Linked DNA regions of Canis lupus familiaris. Each later gene encodes a partner of the first gene's protein in a complex. Links are inferred from orthologs where the notes say so. Each region holds a gene or a part of one and is shown on either strand. Other genes may lie near its edges. The genes, in order: UBE2D2, RNF25, MUL1, RNF125 and RLIM.

What was found.
Region 2: the proteins of UBE2D2 (region 1) and RNF25 are in contact, whole or in part, in a crystal structure (PDB 5D1K), measured with the Homo sapiens proteins. The link is inferred for Canis lupus familiaris from reciprocal best matches to the Homo sapiens genes UBE2D2 and RNF25. Residues at the interface, in NP_003330.1 of Homo sapiens: Leu3, Lys4, Arg5, His7, Lys8, Glu9, Leu10, Asn11, Asp12, Arg15, Ser22, Pro25, Gln34, Thr36, Val49, Phe51, Asp59, Pro61, Phe62, Lys63, Phe69, Thr70, Thr71, Arg72, Ser80, Asn81, Gly82, Gln92, Ser94, Pro95; in NP_071898.2 of Homo sapiens: Val136, Ile137, Cys138, Leu139, Tyr140, Cys161, Arg164, Tyr165, His168, Pro199, Val200, Arg202, Gln220, Met222, Glu223, Leu224, Tyr225, Gln226, Arg238, Leu241, Tyr242, Arg244, Gln245, Arg248, Gly249, Gly250, Ile251, Ile252, Leu254.
Region 3: the proteins of UBE2D2 (region 1) and MUL1 are in contact, whole or in part, in a crystal structure (PDB 6M2C), measured with the Homo sapiens proteins. The link is inferred for Canis lupus familiaris from reciprocal best matches to the Homo sapiens genes UBE2D2 and MUL1. Residues at the interface, in NP_003330.1 of Homo sapiens: Met1, Arg5, Lys8, Glu9, Asp12, Phe62, Ser91, Gln92, Trp93, Ser94, Pro95, Ala96; in NP_078820.2 of Homo sapiens: Val303, Val304, Cys305, Leu306, Cys326, Ala329, Leu330, Pro331, Pro337, Ile338, Arg340.
Region 4: the proteins of UBE2D2 (region 1) and RNF125 are in contact, whole or in part, in a crystal structure (PDB 8GBQ), measured with the Homo sapiens proteins. The link is inferred for Canis lupus familiaris from reciprocal best matches to the Homo sapiens genes UBE2D2 and RNF125. Residues at the interface, in NP_003330.1 of Homo sapiens: Leu3, Lys4, Arg5, His7, Lys8, Glu9, Asn11, Pro61, Phe62, Lys63, Ile88, Gln92, Ser94, Pro95, Ala96, Leu97, Thr98; in NP_060301.2 of Homo sapiens: Ala38, Val39, Cys40, Leu41, Glu42, Cys60, Thr63, Ser64, Asn67, Pro73, Tyr74, Arg76, Glu102, Tyr122, Lys125, Tyr126.
Region 5: the proteins of UBE2D2 (region 1) and RLIM are in contact, whole or in part, in a crystal structure (PDB 6W7Z), measured with the Homo sapiens proteins. The link is inferred for Canis lupus familiaris from reciprocal best matches to the Homo sapiens genes UBE2D2 and RLIM. Residues at the interface, in NP_003330.1 of Homo sapiens: Met1, Arg5, Lys8, Glu9, Asp59, Pro61, Phe62, Lys63, Ile88, Gln92, Trp93, Ser94, Pro95, Ala96, Leu97, Thr98; in NP_057204.2 of Homo sapiens: Ser571, Val572, Ile574, His595, Cys596, Arg599, Trp600, Glu603, Pro608, Ile609, Arg611.

What each region holds. Positions count from the first base shown.
Region 1 is NC_049223.1:33,951,310-33,955,474, reverse strand, and holds the start of UBE2D2 (ubiquitin-conjugating enzyme E2 D2), read right to left. Parts: upstream 2,801-4,165; 5' UTR 2,499-2,800; coding exon 2,475-2,498; intron 1-2,474.
Region 2 is NC_049258.1:25,142,128-25,146,204, reverse strand, and holds the end of RNF25 (E3 ubiquitin-protein ligase RNF25), read left to right. Parts: coding exon 1-93; intron 94-183; coding exon 184-251; intron 252-344; coding exon 345-414; intron 415-1,567; coding exon 1,568-1,639; intron 1,640-1,733; coding exon 1,734-1,877; intron 1,878-2,218; coding exon 2,219-2,311; intron 2,312-2,592; coding exon 2,593-2,727; intron 2,728-2,929; coding exon 2,930-3,508; 3' UTR 3,509-3,570; downstream 3,571-4,077. Other genes in the region: BCS1L (mitochondrial chaperone BCS1), read right to left, coding at 4,072-4,077. UniProt on the Homo sapiens protein: E3 ubiquitin-protein ligase that plays a key role in the RNF14-RNF25 translation quality control pathway, a pathway that takes place when a ribosome has stalled during translation, and which promotes ubiquitination and degradation of translation factors on stalled ribosomes.
Region 3 is NC_049223.1:77,793,527-77,797,655, reverse strand, and holds the start of MUL1 (mitochondrial ubiquitin ligase activator of NFKB 1), read right to left. Parts: upstream 2,807-4,129; 5' UTR 2,716-2,806; coding exon 2,596-2,715; intron 1-2,595. UniProt on the Homo sapiens protein: Exhibits weak E3 ubiquitin-protein ligase activity. E3 ubiquitin ligases accept ubiquitin from an E2 ubiquitin-conjugating enzyme in the form of a thioester and then directly transfer the ubiquitin to targeted substrates.
Region 4 is NC_049228.1:57,578,698-57,582,862, forward strand, and holds the start of RNF125 (E3 ubiquitin-protein ligase RNF125), read right to left. Parts: upstream 2,809-4,165; 5' UTR 2,701-2,808; coding exon 2,537-2,700; intron 1-2,536. UniProt on the Homo sapiens protein: E3 ubiquitin-protein ligase that mediates ubiquitination and subsequent proteasomal degradation of target proteins, such as RIGI, MAVS/IPS1, IFIH1/MDA5, JAK1 and p53/TP53.
Region 5 is NC_049260.1:58,030,013-58,033,520, forward strand, and holds part of RLIM (E3 ubiquitin-protein ligase RLIM), read right to left. Parts: intron 2,924-3,508; coding exon 2,840-2,923; intron 1,532-2,839; coding exon 1-1,531. UniProt on the Homo sapiens protein: E3 ubiquitin-protein ligase.

The DNA.
Region 1 (4,165 bases):
CAGAGTATTTTTAAGTAGAACTGTATTTTCAGAGAATGATAGTTGAAAAGGTTCAAGATCAAGATCAATTACATAAGCCAAGTTAAGTTTTTTTGGGATTCCACTGTAGATACATTACTAGGGCCAAGAAGATAGTAAGAACTAGTCTTACCCATACCTAAGTAAGTCTGACTTCAACTTAAAATTGCTATTATACAAAAAATTGGGGGGGGGGGGAATCTCCATTTTGTTTTCACAATCTTACTGACTAGTATACCAAAATAAATTTTATTTTTCTATTCCCCGGTAGTCTCAGAAGTTGAGCCATACTTTGAGGAGGGCCTTAAGTTATAAAACAGGGGGGAAAAAGGCTAATTACTGAGTTTTAAAAGTTCAAAGTATCATTGCCTAAACTTGATCTTATTGAAATTTTTATATTTTAGAGAAAATCTAGAGAATATGTAGCAACTCAAAAGAAACTAATTACTGGGGCAAGTATATGAGATTAAAGTACATGTTTTGAGTTCCTTTCTCTGAAAAAATAGAATACATATCAATTAACATAGAGATTAAAAGGTATATTTATTGATCTGCAAATTATCATACATACTCCTCTTCAGGTTTTAGAGTAAGAACATGGAGAGAGGAGTTGAAAAAAAAAAAAGAGCAGTCTTCTACAGTTACAATCTCAAATTGATAACCCATTGAGACCCTATAAAAACTACTAAAAGCCTTAAAAACACACGGACGCCTGGGTGGCTCAGCAGTTGGGTGCCTTTTTTCCGCTCAGGTCGTGATCCCAGGATCCGGGATAGAGACCAGCATCAGGCTCCCTGTGAGGAACCTCTTCTCCCTCTGCCTGTCTCTGCCTCTCTCTCTCAGTCTGTGTCTCTCACAAATAAATAAATAAATAAATCTTAAAAAAAAAACAAAACAAACCTTAAAAATACATATACATTTTTATTTGGATGATGATTCCTCAGTATGCTCCTGTCCCTTAAATAGTTCTTTAAGAATTCTTTGATTAAATTGCAAGCTCCTTTTAACAAATAACCTGCTTCATTTTAATGCAAGATTTACTCTGAACTCTGCCTTTCTTCATTTGTTAGAAATCAAAGAAATCCAAACAAGCTAGTAAGGATCTAACCTAATTTACAGTAACCATTAGGATTAATTCCACGTTAAAGGTCTTTGAGCATGAATGAAATGAAAATCCACTGCAAACTGAGGTGTTTTAATTGTCCAACAGTCTGTATTTGCCCTGAGTTTAGGGCAATGAATATTTGTTCTCTTCCCGGTACATCTCCATCCCATTCCTCCCGATGGATAATCCCGGGATCTATTTATAAGTGGCTAAAGGTTTGATAGAGCTTCTCCAAGGAGCTAAGTAAAACCAAACAAAAATCATCATTAGTACTTCTCACTTTTAAGAAAAAGACAGGATAGTCAGAGGCTCCAGGAGTGTTACAATATTGGGGGTACTCTAAATTTAGAGCCAAGCCCATAAGGTAGAATCAGTATACGGAAAACCTTCATACAAATAACTAAATAACCTTTCCTCTTAAAGGGCAAAGACACCCTTTCGAATAGAAAAAATTGAGCAAAATTCCTTCTAAATTCAAAGGGTCTCCCTGAACATATGACGTAATTTACGCGTTAAAATCCACCGTATAAAGAGACAGTAAAGGGAAACTTTGTGTAATTCCTTCAGCGGTTTTCAATGTTCAGGTTTCTACTTCTATCCTTGCAAATTTACGTTTTTCTATTAGATCCATTCCTATAAAAGTTTAATTTCAGACTACATTTAGGCAACCTCAAAGAACAAAACCTCTTTCTACTTCCCTCCTCCCTCAAGAGTCATGTTTGTTTTGTTTTGTTTTCCTTCTGAACTTCCTACTCTTTAAGTTTCTGGACGAGTGGAGTGGACCGAAGTGCGCGGCCGCCAAGAGGTAAGTAAACTCAAGGAATACTTGTGGATCGGACAAAAAGGCTTCCTACGTGTGCCTGAGACGTGGGCTCCAAGCTCAGGCGGCTCCGAGGAGGGAACCAGGGCAGGTGGGCGGGAGGCGGGAGTCGGGGGACACGGGCAGACGTGGGGCGAGGAGCCCTTTCGACCTCTGTCAATGGGACAGCTCAGCGCCCCAGCCCAGCTCCCCCTCCCGGCATGGCCGGACAATGGCCCTCTAGCGCAGCAGTCCCAGGCCGGGCAGAGGCCCTGGGGCTCCACACCACGCGGGGCCTAGAAAGGAGGCCAGGGAGGCACGCTGAGCCGGCTGGCGAACCTGCGGCCTGAGCGCGGGCTGCGTACCGGGGCCTCTACCGGCGCCATCACTGGGAGTGGGGTGTGAAGGGCGCCCGGCAGGACCACCGCCGCCGGCAGCCGGGTCCGAAGAGGCCGCGAGCCGGGCGGAGGCGACGGCGGGAAGTGCAGGCCGCAGCCTGCTCAGCTAGCCCGCCCAGCGGCCGGAACCCTCAGCCGACCTCCGGCCGCTTACCTTGTGGATTCTCTTCAAAGCCATCGTGGGAGACGGGTGGCGGCGGCCCCCGGGGCGGGGACGGGGGCAGGGGAGGGACGGGGAAGGGGCGAGGGGGCGCGAGGCCGCCTCAGTGACCGCGGGTCGGCCGGAGAAGACGGGGGGTTCGCGAGCGCGAGCCTGGCAGGACCGACTGCGGGCCGAGGCCCACTTGGCTCCTGAGCCTGCCGCAGCGGTCACCGCATCACCCGGCGGCGGCCCCTTTATGCGCTGCCGCCCGAGCCGCCGCCGCCGCCGCCGCCGCCGCCGCCGTAGCTGCCTCTTCCACCTAGTCTCAGCGCCGCCTCCTCAGCCGCCGTGGATCCCTCCGCCGGGGAGCAAGAGCCCAAGCCTCGGGCTCGGCCGGCGCCGCTCAGTGGAACAGCCAGAGGGACTGCCTGCTGCAGGTGGACGGAGGCACTCGCGGGCGGACGGGCGGGCGGCGCCGCCGGGGTGGGGCCGCCGGAGCGCGGGGTGGGTCCAGGCCGAGGGGCAGGTCGGGAGGCCCGGGGATTGGCGGGCGAGGGGAGGGAGGGCCGGACCGCGCCGGCGGCGGAAGGATACGGGCCGCCCCTGTTAGTGTCTTACGCGCGGTCGCCTTCGCCGCCGCGGCCGCCGAGAGGATGACGCCGCGAAGCGCAGGGGAGCAGTCTCGCGAGATTTATGGAGCGGGTGGTAGATGCTCGCGCGACGGCAGCCTTGAGTCCCTGGCCTCTGGTGCCCTACGCGCGTGTTCATAAACGTGTAAAGGCGAATGTTTTCCGGATCCACCTGGTCAGCGCCGTAGCACAGACTGACCCGGGAGGGGGTACCGGTCCACTACAACGTTCCTGTAGGAGGAAGGGACTTGCCCAAGGTCACACAGCTCTACAGAGGCAAAGCCGGGACTTCCAAGCCTCGTGGTAACAGCCTGGGCACCTGTTGGGGATGTGTCTTTTTTTTTTTTTTTTTTTCCCAGCCCGCCTCTGGCCTTTCTTTCTTTTTAAAATTTCTATTTATTTATTCATGAGAGACACAGAGACAGAGACACAGGCAGAGGGAGAAGCAGGCTCCATGCAGGGAGCCCGACGTGGGACTCGATCCCCGGTCTCCAGGATCATGCCCTGGGCTGAAGGCGGCGCTAAACCGCTGGGCCACCTGGGCTGCCCGCCCTTGGCCTTTCTAGCCAAAGCCCCACCCAGCAGCATGACAACTGCAAGATCTCTTAGGTAGGCCTTTCTTTGCTTGGTGAATTGTTACAAACAAGCACTGCACCAATTAACCTCAGAAGAAAAACGGTGTACTGTGTGCTCCAGGAGTTAAAACTAACCATGTGGTTCAGATCACCATCAGGAGCTAGCCTGCTTTTTAGGAGGATGAGACAAATGTGAATTCCCCGAGTAACTAGTGTGTGTAGAGCCCTACACCACGACCAGTGAGATATAAGTTCAAGCCTAGGCTGGGAGGTACTTAGCCTGGCTGGAGACAATGGAGAATAATAGTTAAGGATTATTTTCCTGGTGAGTGATGCCCACATTCTCAACTTCATCCCAAGGCTTATCTGATTCTAAAACTGCTCTTTCCTATGTCTGGAAGAAAACTATTCTTCCTATGTCTAGATCATTGATTTCTAACCTGAATTTCGAGAGGAGAAACTGGAGCTCCTAAGGGAAGGATCCTGCCAAATGTTACAC
Region 2 (4,077 bases), on another chromosome or scaffold:
TGGGAGATCTACATCACCCTGCACCCTGCCACTGCAGAAGACCAGAATTCACAGTATGTGTGCTTCACCCTGGTGCTTCAGGTCCCAACACAGGTGAGGCCCCTGCCTTGTGGCAGCAAAGGGAGAAAGGAGAGAGGCTCTGGGGTGGAGTGCTTTAGCAGTAACATCATTTCCTCCCACTAGTACCCCAATGAGGTGCCACAGATCTCTATCCGTAACCCCCGAGGACTCTCAGATGAACAGATCCACAAGTAAGCTGGGCTGGTCAGGGCAGGGAAAATGGGCTGCAGCTCAGTCTGGTGAGGGGAGGGAGCAGGCCTAATGTTTGCTTTGCCCTTTTCCAGGATTTCACAGGCACTGAGCCACGTGGCCAATGCTGGGCTGGGTACTGCTATGCTCTATGAACTCATCGAGGTAAGAGGTGTGCTAGCTCGGGAAACTCCTAGAGCTGTTTCTCTTAGGGGAGGTAATGGGCCTAGGATCTTACATACATCTGGAGTCATTCATTTACTCTTGTTTAGGTGAGGCCTAAATCCAGAAAGATGAAATTTTCTGTTACCAAGAATCCTACCACCCCCCCAAAAGAGAGTTCCCTAGCTTCCCCAAGTGGCCTATGCTAGTATCCTAAAAATGACTTTGCCTTTATAACTTGAATTTTTCTTGATTCTGCTTCAAGGCATTCTCTGGGCACTGGCAACCGAAAGTAGCAAGAGATAGAGACCTTGCCTAGAGAGTCTCACCACAAATAAAAATTTGAAGGCTAGTCTGCCATTGCAGTGGACTAGGACTAAAAAAGTCATGGTTCTTTTACTCAGTTTCTCCCCTAATGAAGTTAACAACCCACAGAGAACACCTAAAGCTACAAGTTCACATACACAGACAACTTCTGTTGCTTGAGATTAAAAACACAATTAAGTACAGTCTTGTTTCAAAACTTCAAAACTTTGACTTTTGAAGAAAAATGTTCAGAAAAGAATGAAGGTGGGCGGCCTGGAGTCCGAGTGGCTTAGACCACTGTAGCACTCCTGAGCCCGGCCTCCACAATGCCACTTTGAGCTTTGTGGAATTCCAGAATATTAGCTATTCAAACAACAGTGCAAAGGAGTTTGTTTGCAGCCCAACTTGATGCCCTTGAGTTCTCTGTTCATTTGGGTTGTCCATGCCTCAACTTTTTCTGGAAGCTGGCTCGAAGAACAGACCTCTTAGAGTGATAATCAGAGGGGGTTAACCAAAGAAGACCTCCCAGAAGATAAGAGTTTCAATTGAACATTCTGTTCTCTCGAGGCATATTATTTTCATCCCTGAGGTGTACTAAAGGTGATTTATGAAGTGGAAAAACAGCAAAATTGGATTGTGCGGCTGGGTTGATGTGGCAGGAGGGGCAGGGACGCGGAGGACTGATTCCAGGGGGAGGACACCTCCCCGAGACAGGAATGCATGAACACAAAGTAACATGCTAGCTTAGTAGGAGACATTCCCGCATTCACCCCTGGGAATAGTAGAACCCTGGCTGTGTTCCCAGTTCTTGCCCCTGCCTCCCTGTTTGAAATGTCTTCTCTCCTCTCAGAAAGGGAAGGAAATTCTCACAGACAATAATATCCCCCATGGCCAGTGCGTCATCTGCCTCTATGATTTCCAGGTGGGTTTCTCCCTTGGGACCTGGCGTCTGCTTGGGCTGGCAGTGGAGGACTCATGAGAGCTCCGGCGCCATGCCCTGTGTCTCCTCCCTTCAGGAGAAGGAGGCCTTTACCAAAACACCCTGTTACCACTACTTCCACTGCCACTGCCTTGCTCGATACATCCAGCACATGGAGCGTGAGCTACAGGCTCAAGGCCAGGAGCAGGAGCAGGAACGGCAGCATGCCGCAACCAAGCAGGTCAGCTTGCCAGCCCCTGCTCTCACCTGACCGCCTCACACCCTTTTCTGTCCCTCGACTCCAGGGGCTCTTCGCCTTTTTGGGGTCACAGATCCCTTTGAAATTTGAAAGCTCACCTCTGTCCAGAAAAAAGGGTGTTCTTATATACATGTATACATGCTGTGTGCAGTTTCAGAGTTCCCAGACCTCTATCTGGGGAGGCAACCCCTGCCCTATCCTGCCTCAATGTGCCTGTGCCCTTCATCCCTGCCCTGTTCAGATTAGCCTGGCTGACTGGGTTGGGCAGCTGGCAAGCGAGCACTATGGGCCGTGAAGCAGGGCTGTGATTTCTCTATTTTTAGAAGGCAGTCGGTGTGCAGTGTCCGGTGTGCAGAGAGCCCCTTGTATATGATCTTGCCTCACTGAAAGCAGCCCCTGAACCCCAACAGCCCATGGTAAGGAAATTCCCTTGTCATCTGAGCCAGGAATAATGGCATCCTCCAAGGAGGGAGGGATGGCATCTTATCTTCCTCAAATGGGACCTCCAGAATTGGGCTTGACCTGCCTGGGACCCTGCAGAGCTACAGCCCCAACTAGGCTGAGGCTTTGAGAGCCCAGATCTGAGAGGCAAACCCAAGAACCTCAAGCAGATCTGAGGCAGTCCTGAAAGAGCAGGGATTCGAGTCTGCCTTCTATTTTTTTTTTCCCCGCTCTCACTCTGCTCACTGCCTTCCAGGAGCTATACCAGCCCAGCGCAGAGAGCCTGCGCCAACAAGAAGAGCGCAAGCGGCTCTACCAGAGGCAGCAGGAGCGGGGAGGCATCATTGACCTTGAGGCTGAGCGTAACCGGTACTTCATCAGCCTCCAGCAGGTGAGGGAAGCCTTCCTCACACCTCCCTTACTGCCCCCTACCTTCCCAGCAGCGCCCCTCTGCCATGGCCCTAGGGAGAGCTCTGTTCTACCCTTAAGGTTAGAGGCTGATGGCAGTCAGCCTCAGCTGTGAGCAAGGGGCCTACAGCTCCCTGCTTTGGGAAACTACACCTCCCTCACTGCATCTGCTCATTTCTTTCTAGCCTCCTGCCCCTGTGGAGCCGGAGTCGGCTGTAGATGCCTCCAGAGGATCCCAGCCACCCAGTGCCCTTGCCTCAGAACTGTCCACCTCATCAACTGCCCAGCCCAACCTGTCAGCTCCTCTGCCTGTGGCCTCCCAGTACACGTGTGAGAAGATTCCAGGGGCTGGGCCAAATCAGCAAAGGTTGGGCGAGACCCAGAAAGCTATGATAGATCCCCCCCGGGCCAGTCGAGGCCCCTGGAAACAGCCTGAACGGAGGCACCTAAAGGGAGGGGAGTGCCATGCCCACAAAGGTACCAGTGACACCCAGGAACTGCCACCTCCTGAGGGGCCCCTCAAGGAGCCCATGGACCTAAAGCCAGAACCCTGTAGCCAAGGGGTTGAAGGTCCTCCCCAAGAGAAGGGGCCTGGCAACTGGCAGGGTCCCCCACCCCGCAGGACTCGGGACTGTGCTCGCTGGGAGCGCTCCAAGGCTCGGACACCGGGTTCTTCCTACCCCCGCCTGCCTCGGGGTCGGGGAGCCTTTCGTCCTGGTACTCGGAGGGAGCCCCTGAGCATGGAGTCTGAGGACGGTTCCTAGCAGTACTGTGGGGGGCAGGGATTTGGGGGGGCAGGGAGGGGCAATAAAGAGATTTGGCCTTGTTTGGCTTTCTTTGCTTAGTAGCGCCTAGCCTGTACAGTATGGCTTTTTCTGAATCTCTAGCAAGACCTGAGTGGGAGACTAGCTCCAACTTTGCCCTGAAGTCCCATTTTCCCAAGAGATCAAGTTCTGAATAAAGATAGGCCTGACACCTCAGCCAGCGTGGTGGGTTTCAGGAAAACTAGTAGATGCCAACATCTAAGCAGAACATGCAAGAATATGATGTGCACACACCCACCGTGTATATGTCCACATTTTTATGTATATACATTTTTTTAAAACCGAATGCCTTTAGATCGAAGACTGTACTTCCCTGTTTACCATGGTGTCTCTTCCAGCTTTGCCTTAGCTTATACCCCCAGCACTGGCCTCTGTGGATGCCTGAGGGCCCCTGCCTTTGACCTAAGTACCAATACAGGGAGGCAGGGAGGGAGGCCAGAAAGCAGAGTGGTGTGGCAGGTGTTTATTGATCTAGAGGAGAAGCGCTGAGCACAGCTTGCCCGTCATGT
Region 3 (4,129 bases), about 44 Mb from region 1:
ACTGATAACATAAGCAGTTAATCAACACATTTTGTAGGTTATATGCTGTATTCCTGTAATAAAACAAGCTAAAGAAAAGAAAATATTTTTTAGGGCAGCCCCGGTGGCTCAGCGGTTTGGTGCCGCCTTCGGCCCGGGGTGTGATCCTGGAGACCCGGGATCGAGTCCCACATCAGGGTCCCTACATGGAGCCTGTGTCTCCCTCTGCCTGTGTCTCTGCTTCTCTCTCCTGTGTATTCTCATGAATAAGTAAATAAAATTTAAAAAATATATATTTTTAAAAAATCATGAGAAGGGGCCCCTGGGTGGCTCAGTGGTTGAGTGTCTACCTTTGGCTCAGGTTGTGATCCCAGGGTCCTGGGATCGAGTCCTGCATCGGGCTCCCCGCAGGGAGCCTGCTTCTCCCTCTGCCTGTGTCTCTGCTTCTCTCTCTGTATCTCTCAGGAATAAATAAAATCTTTAATAAATAAATAAATATAAGAAAATACATTTATAATACTGTATTTGTTGAAAATAATCTGCGTGTAAGTGGACCTGCACAGTTCAAACCCATGTTGTTCAAAGGTCAACTGTATGTACCAGGCACTACGCTAAACACTTTACACGCGTAAATTCATGCAATGCTCCTACCACCCCTATACAGCAGACATTATTAGCCCCAATTACAGATAAGGAAACTGAGGCTCAGAGATATGAAATGCTTTGCCCCAAGTCACACAGCTGGTACAGCATCCACCACAGGATGGCCAGTTAGAATTTTTTAAAGGGGAGAGGGAATACGGTTGGAAAGACACTTGAATCAACCTTCAGTCCATCTATTGTGACTTTGAGCAACTTAATTTACCTGAGTCTCAATTGCCAAAGCTGTAAAAAAAAAAAAATGGAGATAAAACTATCACTGGATTTTTATGTGTGTTCAATGATGTGTAAGGTGTGAAGGAATCTAGCCCAGGGGCTGGCACATAATAGGCAGGCAATAAATATGCATTCCCATCACTACGAGAGATGCACAAGGTTAAGACTCAAACCTACTCTGCGAGTTTTGTAATCTGATCAAGAAAACAGAACCTAAAATATTAGGAATCCCAACTCTTTCCAGGAAGGGGCTGTTTCAACTTCATTTGGGAACTAACTGGCAAAACTTTTAAGGCCACCCAAAAATAGATCCTGGAGAGTTCACTGCTTCAAAGGTCCCACATTCAGCCAGCTTGATGCCAACCTGATTTCAGACTTTTAGAGTCAGAAAGTGGAGTATCAGTTACACTCCTGGCACATGACTTCAGCAGTAACCTGTTTATAATCAAACAACTGGGCAGCTGGAATCTCACTAGGACGCCATTTGCACCACAAATCTAACTGCTTGGTAACCTGGTTCGATCCAGATGCATTCCCAAACTCCCCTTGACGGCAGGGATTTCACACATTGGTTCCTGAGCCCTTTTATTGAAAACAATATGGTGATAATGAACTAAGCCAGGTTTAGGAATCCTTCAAATAAACGTCAAGCGAAGCCCTAACTGTGGTATCGTGACATTTCAGCCAAAAGGAATCCACAAACATTCGGTGAGCGTCTACCACTTGTCAGGCACTGACTTACAACCTAGAAGAAAAAGCATACGTAAGACCCTGTCTCCGACCTAAAGAGGTCCATCTCTCATGGGCCAGTCAGACCGTCACAGTAAAGCAATGCGGTCAATCAGGAAAGGAAAGGAAAAAAGAAAAGAAAAAATAATAATAATCCCACACTTGGAATCCAAAGACCTAAGTTCCAACTTGAGGAGCTGTTAAGACTTTTCCCGGGAGTCTCAATAATTTCCCCATTTGCAATCTGGAGATGACTGTCATTTTCCATACCTCAAAAAAAAAAAAAATGATTGTGAAGGAGAAAAAAAAAAAAAAAACAAGATGAGAATGTGCTAAGCTGGAAAGGGCAGACTAAGAAAGAAAGTGTTATTTTTAAAGTAACTAAACCATCAAAAAAGGAAGAGTCTGTAGGAACAAGGAACTGAGTGGTTACATAAATGGGCAAAGTCTAGGGTTTCTGCACTTGCTGTTCCCTCCATCTGAACTGTTCTTCCCCCCAGACACCTGCACGGTCTCCCTCACCTCCTCCTGGGCTCTGTTAAATGTCACCTTCTTTAAAATAGCACACCTCCCTTTCTCCGGCACCGCATTTCCTCTCTTCCCCGCCTCATTCTGTCCTATTTTCCTCCCCATCTGTCACCCCATCCGATGTACTTGTCTGTCTGTACCAGACTGGAATCTCCATGAGGGCAGAGACTTTTGGTCTCTTCTAGCCGTGCAGGAGCCCCAGGGCCTGGAGCAGAGCAGGCGGCCCGCTAAGAATTTGTCGAATGATGTAATCCAGTCGCGATTCCGGGTGAGGAGAGGGACTGAGAGGAAGAGGGGCAGGTGGAGCGGTTATCACGTGACCCGAGTTCTGCTCGCCGCGCCCCCACCGAGACCGGCGGGGCGACACCTCTCAGGAGCCGGTTTCCGCCCTGGGGCGGTTTCCGGCCGGAGGCGAAGGGCGGGCCCACCGTTACCGGGGGGCAGGGTCGAGCCGGCGGAGGCCAGGCTGGCCCCAGCACTGACCTTGAGCTCCTGGGCGACCTGGGCCTTCTGCCGGTACACGGAGTACAGGACGGCGGTGACGACAGAGCTGGTGCCCAGGAGGATGAACTGGCCCAGCGAGGGCCGCCCCCCGCTCTCCATGGCTGGCGCGGAGCCCCGGGTGCCCGCGGCGACGCCGAGGTCAGGCCGCGCGCCCTCACGCTCCGCCGCCCTCCGCCCGGAACCGCGCCCCCCACGCCGCCCTTCCGGAGACCCGCTCCGCGTCGCCCGGCGTTGACGCAACGACGCCGGGGCCGGAAGTGGGCGGGGCCGCGCGGACCGGAAGGCGGCGTTGCCCGGGTGACCGCCCGGCTGCGGCGGCCTCCGCGGGGGCGGGGTCTCCGTCGCCGAGAGGCGGGGCGAGGGGGCTGACCGGAAGTCCGAGATCGCGGGTCTCTGGTGACCCTTTGCCCTTGGGAGCCGCGCTGGTCGTGCTCGGGTCGCTCTGGTTTCCTGGGGTTATTGTTGGGGTGTTTGATGGGCTCGTGATGGCTCCACCGAGACTAATGAGACTCCTAAACCTCCGCCTCTTTAGGGGGGGAGGAAAAGAAGAGGACTAGTGTGTAGCAAGCCCTTGGGAGTGTTGCACCTTTAAGCTCAGGGCAAACCTTGAGCCTTGGAATTTTTTTTTTTTTCTTCCCACTTTGCAGATGCGAAGAGTGAGGCCGGGGACATTAGGGGATGTGCTCACAGTTGCACTGCTGGTGAGTGCAAGAGAGGAATTTATTGGGCTCCCAGAGCCCTTACAGCCAAGAAGGCAGATTTTATCACCAAAGTAGCCCCTTAATCTGTCATCACCCCCATATAACAACCTATTGTTTGTCAGCTAATAATTACAGCTGCTTTATGGTGCCTGTTTCTGTGTCTGTGTTTACAGACATCCTATTTAATCCTCACACCACGACTGTGGAGCCGATTTCAGACTATCTTCTGACCTCTTTAGTGATCTCCTTACTGAAATAATCAGAAGATAACCCAAAACCTGACCCAAAACATCAAGGTGTTCATCCAAGTTAGCTCCTCCTGGTTACGCTTTAAAAAAATTCTTGGAGGTGTAGGAATGTACCCGCTGGTCAAAAGCAATATATATGTAAAAGGCATCTGACATCTGTAGGTTGCTCCCCAAAAGTAAAGTCTCTTTATTAAAGAAATTGGTTGTCCGTGACATTTTCCTACCACATTCCTTAATTATCCTTGGAATCCAATGAGAATTGCTTTTCTGTGAACGTGGGGTTAGAATCTCCAGATTGTTCCTGCCCCCAGATACTTTTTGATGGTTTTCAACTAAGAGGTGATCATGAATTTGGTACACACACATACACTTAAAGTTAAACCTAACTTTATTATTTTTTTTTAATGGAACTTGTCCAAAAGTTAATAACACATTGTGTTGGCAAAGGGACAGGGACAGGGGATCCCTGGGTGGCTCAGCGGTTTAGTGCCTGCCTTCGGCCAAGGATGTGATCCTGGGGTCCAGGGATCAAGTCCTGCATCGGGCTCCCTGCGTGAGGCCTGC
Region 4 (4,165 bases), on another chromosome or scaffold:
CTTTTACATTTTTAAAATACTCATAAAAATTCCATTATTCACCCTATTGTACAAATGAAGAAGCAGTCAAAGAGATAGCCCCATGGTGGTCACACAACCAGTCAGTGGCAGGGCTGAATTTCAAATACTGCTCTCTCTCAGTCCCACTGTTTCTACAATTTATAGAGTGCTATATACATACTCATTCAATGTATTTTTGTCATTATTAAGTACTTGATTGACTCGAAATAGGTTTATGAGCAGAAATCAGCATAAACCAACGAGTTCAACAAGTTTGGAAATTAGCTTCAATAGGAGATAACATACAGAGATTTCATTTGCATTTCTCCATTTTCCAATTTAGGGTCAATGGAGGAGAGTAAATTTATTTAGGAAGTACACAAATGGTGTTAACAGCACTCACCATTCCCAGTGGAGAAGGAACTCTAGTTAACATTTATAAAGTGGAAGGGGCCCAAGTAAATTTGCCAAAAGGAGGAATATGGAAATTCTGCCCACAGCCAGAACAATGGACATAGATTTGTCAAAACAAAGAACAGTAAAGTGAGGGAAGGCAATTCATCCAGCCCTTGTGCTACTTCATGACTATTTTTTCCAGTTGCTGGTTTCCTATTCAAACTCTAACAAAGAAAAAGATTAAACAAAAGATTTAACTTTTTACACATTTACATTATCCTTTAGCAGAAGCAAAAACACTACAAACAGTAAGTTATGGCATTCAAAATCCAAACCAGGTGGGATCCCTGGGTGGCTCAGTGATTTAGCGCCTCCCTTGGGCCCGGGCGTGATCCTGGAGTCTGGGATCCAGTTCCACTTCGAGTCCCACACTGGGCTCCTTGCATGGAGCCTGCTTCTCCCTCTGCCTGTGTCTCTGCCTCTCTCTGTGTCTCTCGTGAATAAATAAGTAAAATATTTTTAAAAAATCCAAACCAGGGAAAACAATCCTCAATCAGATAACAACCTCCAATATCAAAGTCATCCAATTCAGTTCTACAGAAGGAACTTTCAAGACTCGATGCCCGCTGCGCATTCCTGGTGCAACTTTAAAGTTTTAATGCACAGCCTAAATTTACCCATAGCTACCCGGGGATGATTACTGTCCCAACTAATCAATATATTATACTGTTACACGATGCTATCTCGGCTTCCATCTTGGCCTTGGGATTTCATATCATGAGCTACATCTGGACAGCTGGGAAACAACATCAGTAATCAGTCTGGAGGCCAATTAGGCTTGAGTTTAAAGTACAACGCTGAAACAACAGGCCTTGAAAACACAGCCACAAAATAATGCCCAGGGCACTCTTTATTTAAACACTATGTGGGCTGCATTTTTCCTTCTTGGCTCACCACCGAGGTTTTCATGGTGCTTCTCAGTCACTAGTCTATAGGTGTCAAGAACCATCTAAGTCTTTTTGAAAACATTTTGTGCACTTGCATTTATAATATGGGTTTTTCCCCCCTTGCTAAGCCAGAAGCACTTACTAGCCATTGCGGTATTGCCCTGGCGCTTCATCAAACTCTAGTCAGCCAAAGAAGACATTAAGTGGGCTTCCGTTCTCACTCTGTGCAACTCCCCGCACCCCACCCACCCCCAACAGGCACACACTCACTCACACACCCAGGCAGCCACGGAAAGCAAGCTTCTGCGGAAACAGAACACGAAACCACAGGTCCAACTCCCATCACTAGTGGCCCCAGCACACATTAAGGACGGGCCAATTTTATATAGGGATTTTGTTTTCAAACTCTTTTTAGAAACGACTAATTTTTATCTCTGCTTTCCATCGATTTTAGGGAAGCGCCGCGTGAGGCAGGGAGTCTGCAAACTCCTGTCACTCTGTGGTTAGATTTTAAAGGGCTACACTCAAGGGCCTGGCGCTAAGGTTCTCAGGTCCCGGCCCCACCCCGACAGGCACTTAAAGTCTAAGGGCTACGAGGTCACTCCGCCTGTTGAGCTGATCTTTGAAGGGCCTGAGTGTGTGCATTAGGATGGGGAGGGGGAGGTGGAGGTGGAAGGACAGTTTGCACGGATCTTTGTTTGCTCAAGAGGCTGCCCCAGTGGGCGTCCTGGAACACGTGCAGGGCCAGCAAAACAAAACCGACCTGCGGGGCGGCGGGGGGTGGGGAGGGGGCAGCACCTCCCGATTGATTGAGCTCGGCGGGGTGATTGCTCTGCAGAAGCCCACTGCCCTGTGTCCAAGCGGGTGCCGGCCGTCCAGCCAAGGGCACCCTCCCCAGCTGACGGCCCCGGCCCCCGGCGGCTCCTGCGCCTGGGCACCCGGTCTGGGGCTCCGCACCTGGGCTTGGGGCAAGCAGCGCCTCGGGGCCTGGCGGGGAGGCGCCGCGGCGCCCGCCTGTTTCTGTTTTCGCCTCCTGCATGCCTGTGTCACCTTCCGACAGGTCGCCTTCCCCGCGGCCCGGGCTCGCCGGGTCCGGGTGTGTCCCCCGCAGGAGCTCCGTTCCCACGCGCGGGCTCCCCCGGCCTCGCCCTCCCCAGAAGCGGGCGCGCAAGCCGAGCTCCCCCCGCACTCACACGTGGCCGCAGCGGGTCCGGACGGGCTGGTGCAGCACCTCGAGGCACACGGAGCAGTCGAAGGACGTGACGGGCAGCTCGGGGTCCCCGCTGCGCTCCAGGGCCCGGGGGGCGGCCGAGGCGGGGGCGGCTTTGGCGCTGTCGCTGCTCAGCACGGAGCCCATCGCGGCGCCTCTCGCCCAGACAGCGGCCGGCAGCTCCGCGCCCGCGGCCGGGTTGTTTTGCTGTCCTGCGGCAGAGGAAGGAAGTCCCGGCCCAGCGGCGACCGCCGCCTCCCCGCGCGCCCGGCGACAGCAGCCCGGCGGCGGCCGCGGCCCGGCGCCCCACCTCCGTCCAGGGCCGACGAGCGCGCGGCCGCGGCCGACACAAGGAGGCGGGGGCGGCCGCACGGTGCGCGCTGCCACGGCCCGGCTCCTGCGAGGGCTGAAACCTGAAACCTCCCCCGCAGGGCCCGGAGCGGCGGGGCGGCCGGCGGGCTGTCGCGCGCGTCCGTACCGCGTTCTGGCGAGCTCCGGAGAGGGTGGAGCCGGCCCCGCCGGCCGCGACGCAGGGGCCCCGCGGGAGGTGATGCTCGCGTCCGCCCTGCGCGGCTGCGACCCCAGCGCGCCCCGGCCGCGGGCTGGCACCGAGCGGCTCCCGAGACCGCGCCCCCCTGCGCTCGGGCCGCAGTCGGCGCCCCACGGGGGGAGGGCTAGCACGCGGCGTGCAAAAGGTTCTGAGACCCGGGTTCGGATCCCAACTCACGACGATAAGGGTTCTAGTGCTATAAATTCTACTGCCTCAGTTTCCTGGGCGCAGGGTGTCCCGCTGTTGCCCCTACTCCCTGCCCCTCCCTCTTTTAGCCATGACCAAATACATCATTTAATGAGCCATACCTGGGCGCCTGGGAGGCCCAGTCGGTTAAGCATCTGCCTTCTGCTTGGCCATGATCTCCGGGTCCTCGGATCAAGCCCCACCGCGGACTCCCTGCTGCTTCTCTCTCTGCCTCCTCTGCCCTTTCCCCTCTGCTTGTGCACTCTCTCTCTCTCTCTCTCTCTCTCTCTCAAATAATAAATAAAATATTATTTTTAAAAAAGCCACACATTTAATAAGACTTCTTTAGTGCCCACTGCATAGCAGACTTTGTTCTGGTGATGGGAACACAATTCTGACCAGGAGACAAAATCCCCGTTCCCACAGAACTTATTTTAAAAAAACAAAACCAAAAATGTTGACTTTGGTTGAGATAATTACAGATTCACATGCTTATCATTTTCTTAATATCTTTTTTTTTAAGATTTCATTCATTTATTCATAAGACACACACAGAGAGAGAGAGGCAGAGACACAGGCAGAGGGAGAAGCAGGCTCCAGGCAGGGAGCCCGACGTGGGACTCGATCCCCGGTCTCTCCAGGATCAGGCCCTGGGCTGAAGGCGGCGCAAAACCGCTGAGCAACCAGGGCTGCCCCAACATGCTTATCATTTATTTATAAATAACACCTAGTAATATATGATCCACACAACCCATCACACAACAATACATGTAATACATAGTAATCCCATAAACTTAACCCAGTTTCCCCCCGACTTTGCTTTTAATAAGAAGATGTAAGTAATCAACGAGTAAATGAGCAAGATCATTTCAGATG
Region 5 (3,508 bases), on another chromosome or scaffold:
ACATGGTACTCATGGGAACAAGGTAGTTTACGAAGTTTGTTGCCTTCTGTATATTCTGTAATGCAAACACTACAGGTTTTTAATGCATCGTTTTCACCAAAACTTCTCATTGCCAAGTTGTCAATCTGTTCTTTGGTGAGTCCTCTAGGTTGGTCATCATCATCCTCATTTAAGAGGAAAAACTGAGCCAGACTAAGGAAGGGCAAAGAGCCACTTTCATCAAATGTTACCGGGGCCCTGTGTCGACCCTCTCGCCTGGCACCCGATGAGCCTGATGATGAGCTTCCTTCGTTACTGCCTTCAAACACCTCTGAGCTAGTCTCTGAACTTTCACCACTGGAACTGGAACTAGGACTGGAACTGGAACTAGAACTGGAGCTTGAACTGGAACTCGAACTGGAACTCGAACTGGAACCAGAACTGCTACTACCACCAGAACCCCCTCTTCCATTCCGTGACTCTGCCCTTTCCACATTTCGACTTGAGACTGAGCCACTAGGCTCTGAATCACTATCACTGTACATAAAATAGCTTAGCTCGCCAAAACCTGTCATTATCTGCCTTAACATGGTCTGAATTGCAACAGATGTAGTCTCACTTAAACCAGTATTTAAAATTCTACGAATCGGAATTCTGATGGTACTGACATAGGTTCTCACACCTGCCCGTTCAGAACGTGAAAATGTACGCCTAAAACCTCCTCGTTCACTTTCGTAAGTGACGGTATTGTTTGGAGTCTGAGACCTTGACCGAGTTCTGCTAGCTATACTATCCCTCTGCCGGTATTCCCCGGGACGAACTCTTCTTACTTGAAGATCAAGGACTATGGTTGGAGGTCTCTGTCCTGATCCTGTAGATTCACCACTGCTGGCTGTGTCTGAAGAACCTGCTCCTTGGGAGGCATTTCTTGTTCCAGAAGCTGCAAAAAGACCTCTACTTAGCAAATCGGGTCCACTTATTTGCTGTCTCAATGTCACATGGTGCCGGGTTCTAGAACTTCCCTCGGTCTCATTCACCAAAGGATGCTCAAAAGTCTGAGATGAGATACTATGATGAGATCTTCGTGGAATTTCACTCATTGGATGCAGAGGTGACCTACTTCTTTCAGCTCTTGCTCGGGTTCTCCGATGATCTGGACTCCTGCTTCTTGCCCTTCTCTGACCTCTGGTAGGTGCGACTTCTCCCGTTAACGCTTCAGTTGAATTTCGTTCTGATCTGGATGGCCTTGTGGATGTTGGTTCAGATCGTGGATTTTCGACTTGCCTTTGGCTGCTGTTGTCTGTATTTTCTCCACCAGAACGTCTTGCAGATGGCTCATTTTCATTCTCTGGATTTTGGCTCCCATTATTACGGTTAACATTGATCTCTAAGCTGAATCTGAAATCACCACTGTTTGGATTAGTCCGGCTCACTGCTCTCCAAGATTGGTTTCCTCTTTGCCCACTTCTTGTTGTATTTCCAGTTTGTCTGACAGAGTTAAGCCAGTCTATTATAGAGTCACCATTAGATACATCATCTGAAGAGTCTCCACCTGTTTTTAAAAAAGGGAGGGAAGAGGGAGAAACAGGAACTACTAAAATTAGGACAATCATGTAATAGTACTCTGAAACTGTGTTAGAAAAAAAGGACAAAGATTCTGAATAGATTTCACATTTACAGATTTTTGTGAACTATACTGCATAGATTTGCAAGTAAAGGCAGGAATCTTTCAATTCCATTTTTTTCCAATTCCATTTTGAAAGAGCAAGCTATTCCTAAAGAAATTTAGGGAAAGTTTATCTAAAGGGAATCAGGAGGAAGTCTATTTTCAGTATTTCATCATATACAGAGCTTATGATACCACTGTGGACTGTCAGAAGACATTTTTTGAGTCCACTGTCAAAACATTAATCAAACAAGGTAAATGCCAGTTAGGGTACAGGGCTAGTATTTTAGTTCAAATTGCATTTTTGTCAAATTTTCATTAGTCTACATTTCCTCTAGGATCCTGACTTAAGTGCCTTTGATAATACAGGACTTTTAAAATACAAGACTGCTGTGGCCACTGCAAAAATAGAAACAGGGCTTACTGCTTCAAAAGTATTCTAATACTTTATTGCCAAGATTTTAAATTAACACAAAATTAGAGATCAGACCAAATGAACAGTTTGCACCTAGCATGGTATATATAATGGCATGCTCAAGAACCAAATTATTATTATAGCCTATGTCAGACAGTGAAATTTCCTACAATCCTACTTCAAATTAAAAGCAGGATTTCTCAACAGTGGCACTATTTCCATTTTGAGCCAGATAATTCTTTGTTGTGGGGGCTGCGCTGTTAATGAGTTTTAGTATGTTGTGATGTTTGCCAGCATCCTTGGCCTCCACCCACTAGATACTAGTAGCAAACCCCTAGCTGTGACAACAACCAAAAATGTCTAAAGACATTGCCAGTGTCCCTGGGACAGGGGTGGAGATATAATCCATTGAGAACCATCAGGTTAGAGAATACAGCATTTCTTTCTGCTGGTGGAAAGTGCACATGTTTATAAGGAAGAAATAATTCAGTAGGTGGGAGGAAATTTCAACGGAGATGCAAAATAAAAAAAAAATCCAACACATTTAAATAGGCCATTTTTCACTATGTCTCAATTAATATAAACTCAAAGGTGAAGCAGAAAAAAAAAACATGTTGACATTTTCGCCAAATACCAAGAAAATGCCAGTTCTCTTTTTTGTTAACAGTTCCTTAGCACTAAATTAATTTGTCCTGTTTCTGGATAATCTTTGGCTGACATTTCCAGTAGTTCCTGATCTACTTCAGCCCCTACCCACCCCCACCCAAAACAAAATATACCTCTGTTTTCATCTGAGTTTTGTGGTGGTGGGCCCTCTTTAATTTGTTGTAGTCTTCTCAGCAACTCTTCCTCAGTACTTTCACCTGAAAATAGTTTAGAAATGTTTGCCAAATTACAAATAAAAATGGCGATGGAGTAGGAACCTGGATAAAATTTACTTCTTTGGGGGCATGACATTACAATTTATGCCAAGTTTCTTTCCAGTTTACTAAGTGCTTTTGCATACGATATCCCACGCTTTTATTTTTTTTTTTTATTTTTTTTTTATCCCACGCTTTTAAACTCTAACTCTGGGAGGTGGAAATTATTATCTGCATTTTAAAATAAGGAAACTGAGACTAAGTGATAGACTGATGTATTAAGAAATGGCAGGGCCAGAATACCAACTTCAGCATCCTGATTCAAGTCTGGTATGGTTGGCTCAAAATGCACTCCCTCTCCTAACACCTTACGTTTTAAAATGTATACAATAACTCAAAGGTTAGAACTAAATAGAATGGAGGAGCACCGGAGATAATGAATTTTAATCAGGATCAAATGGGACCTAACTTGGCAAAAAAGAATCACCAAGCACAAAGTCCTAAACTGACTATTTTACCCAAGGACAGCTTTGGAGGATTATGACTGGAACATAATCTTGGAATCAGAAATAAGAAAAAAAGAAGTCT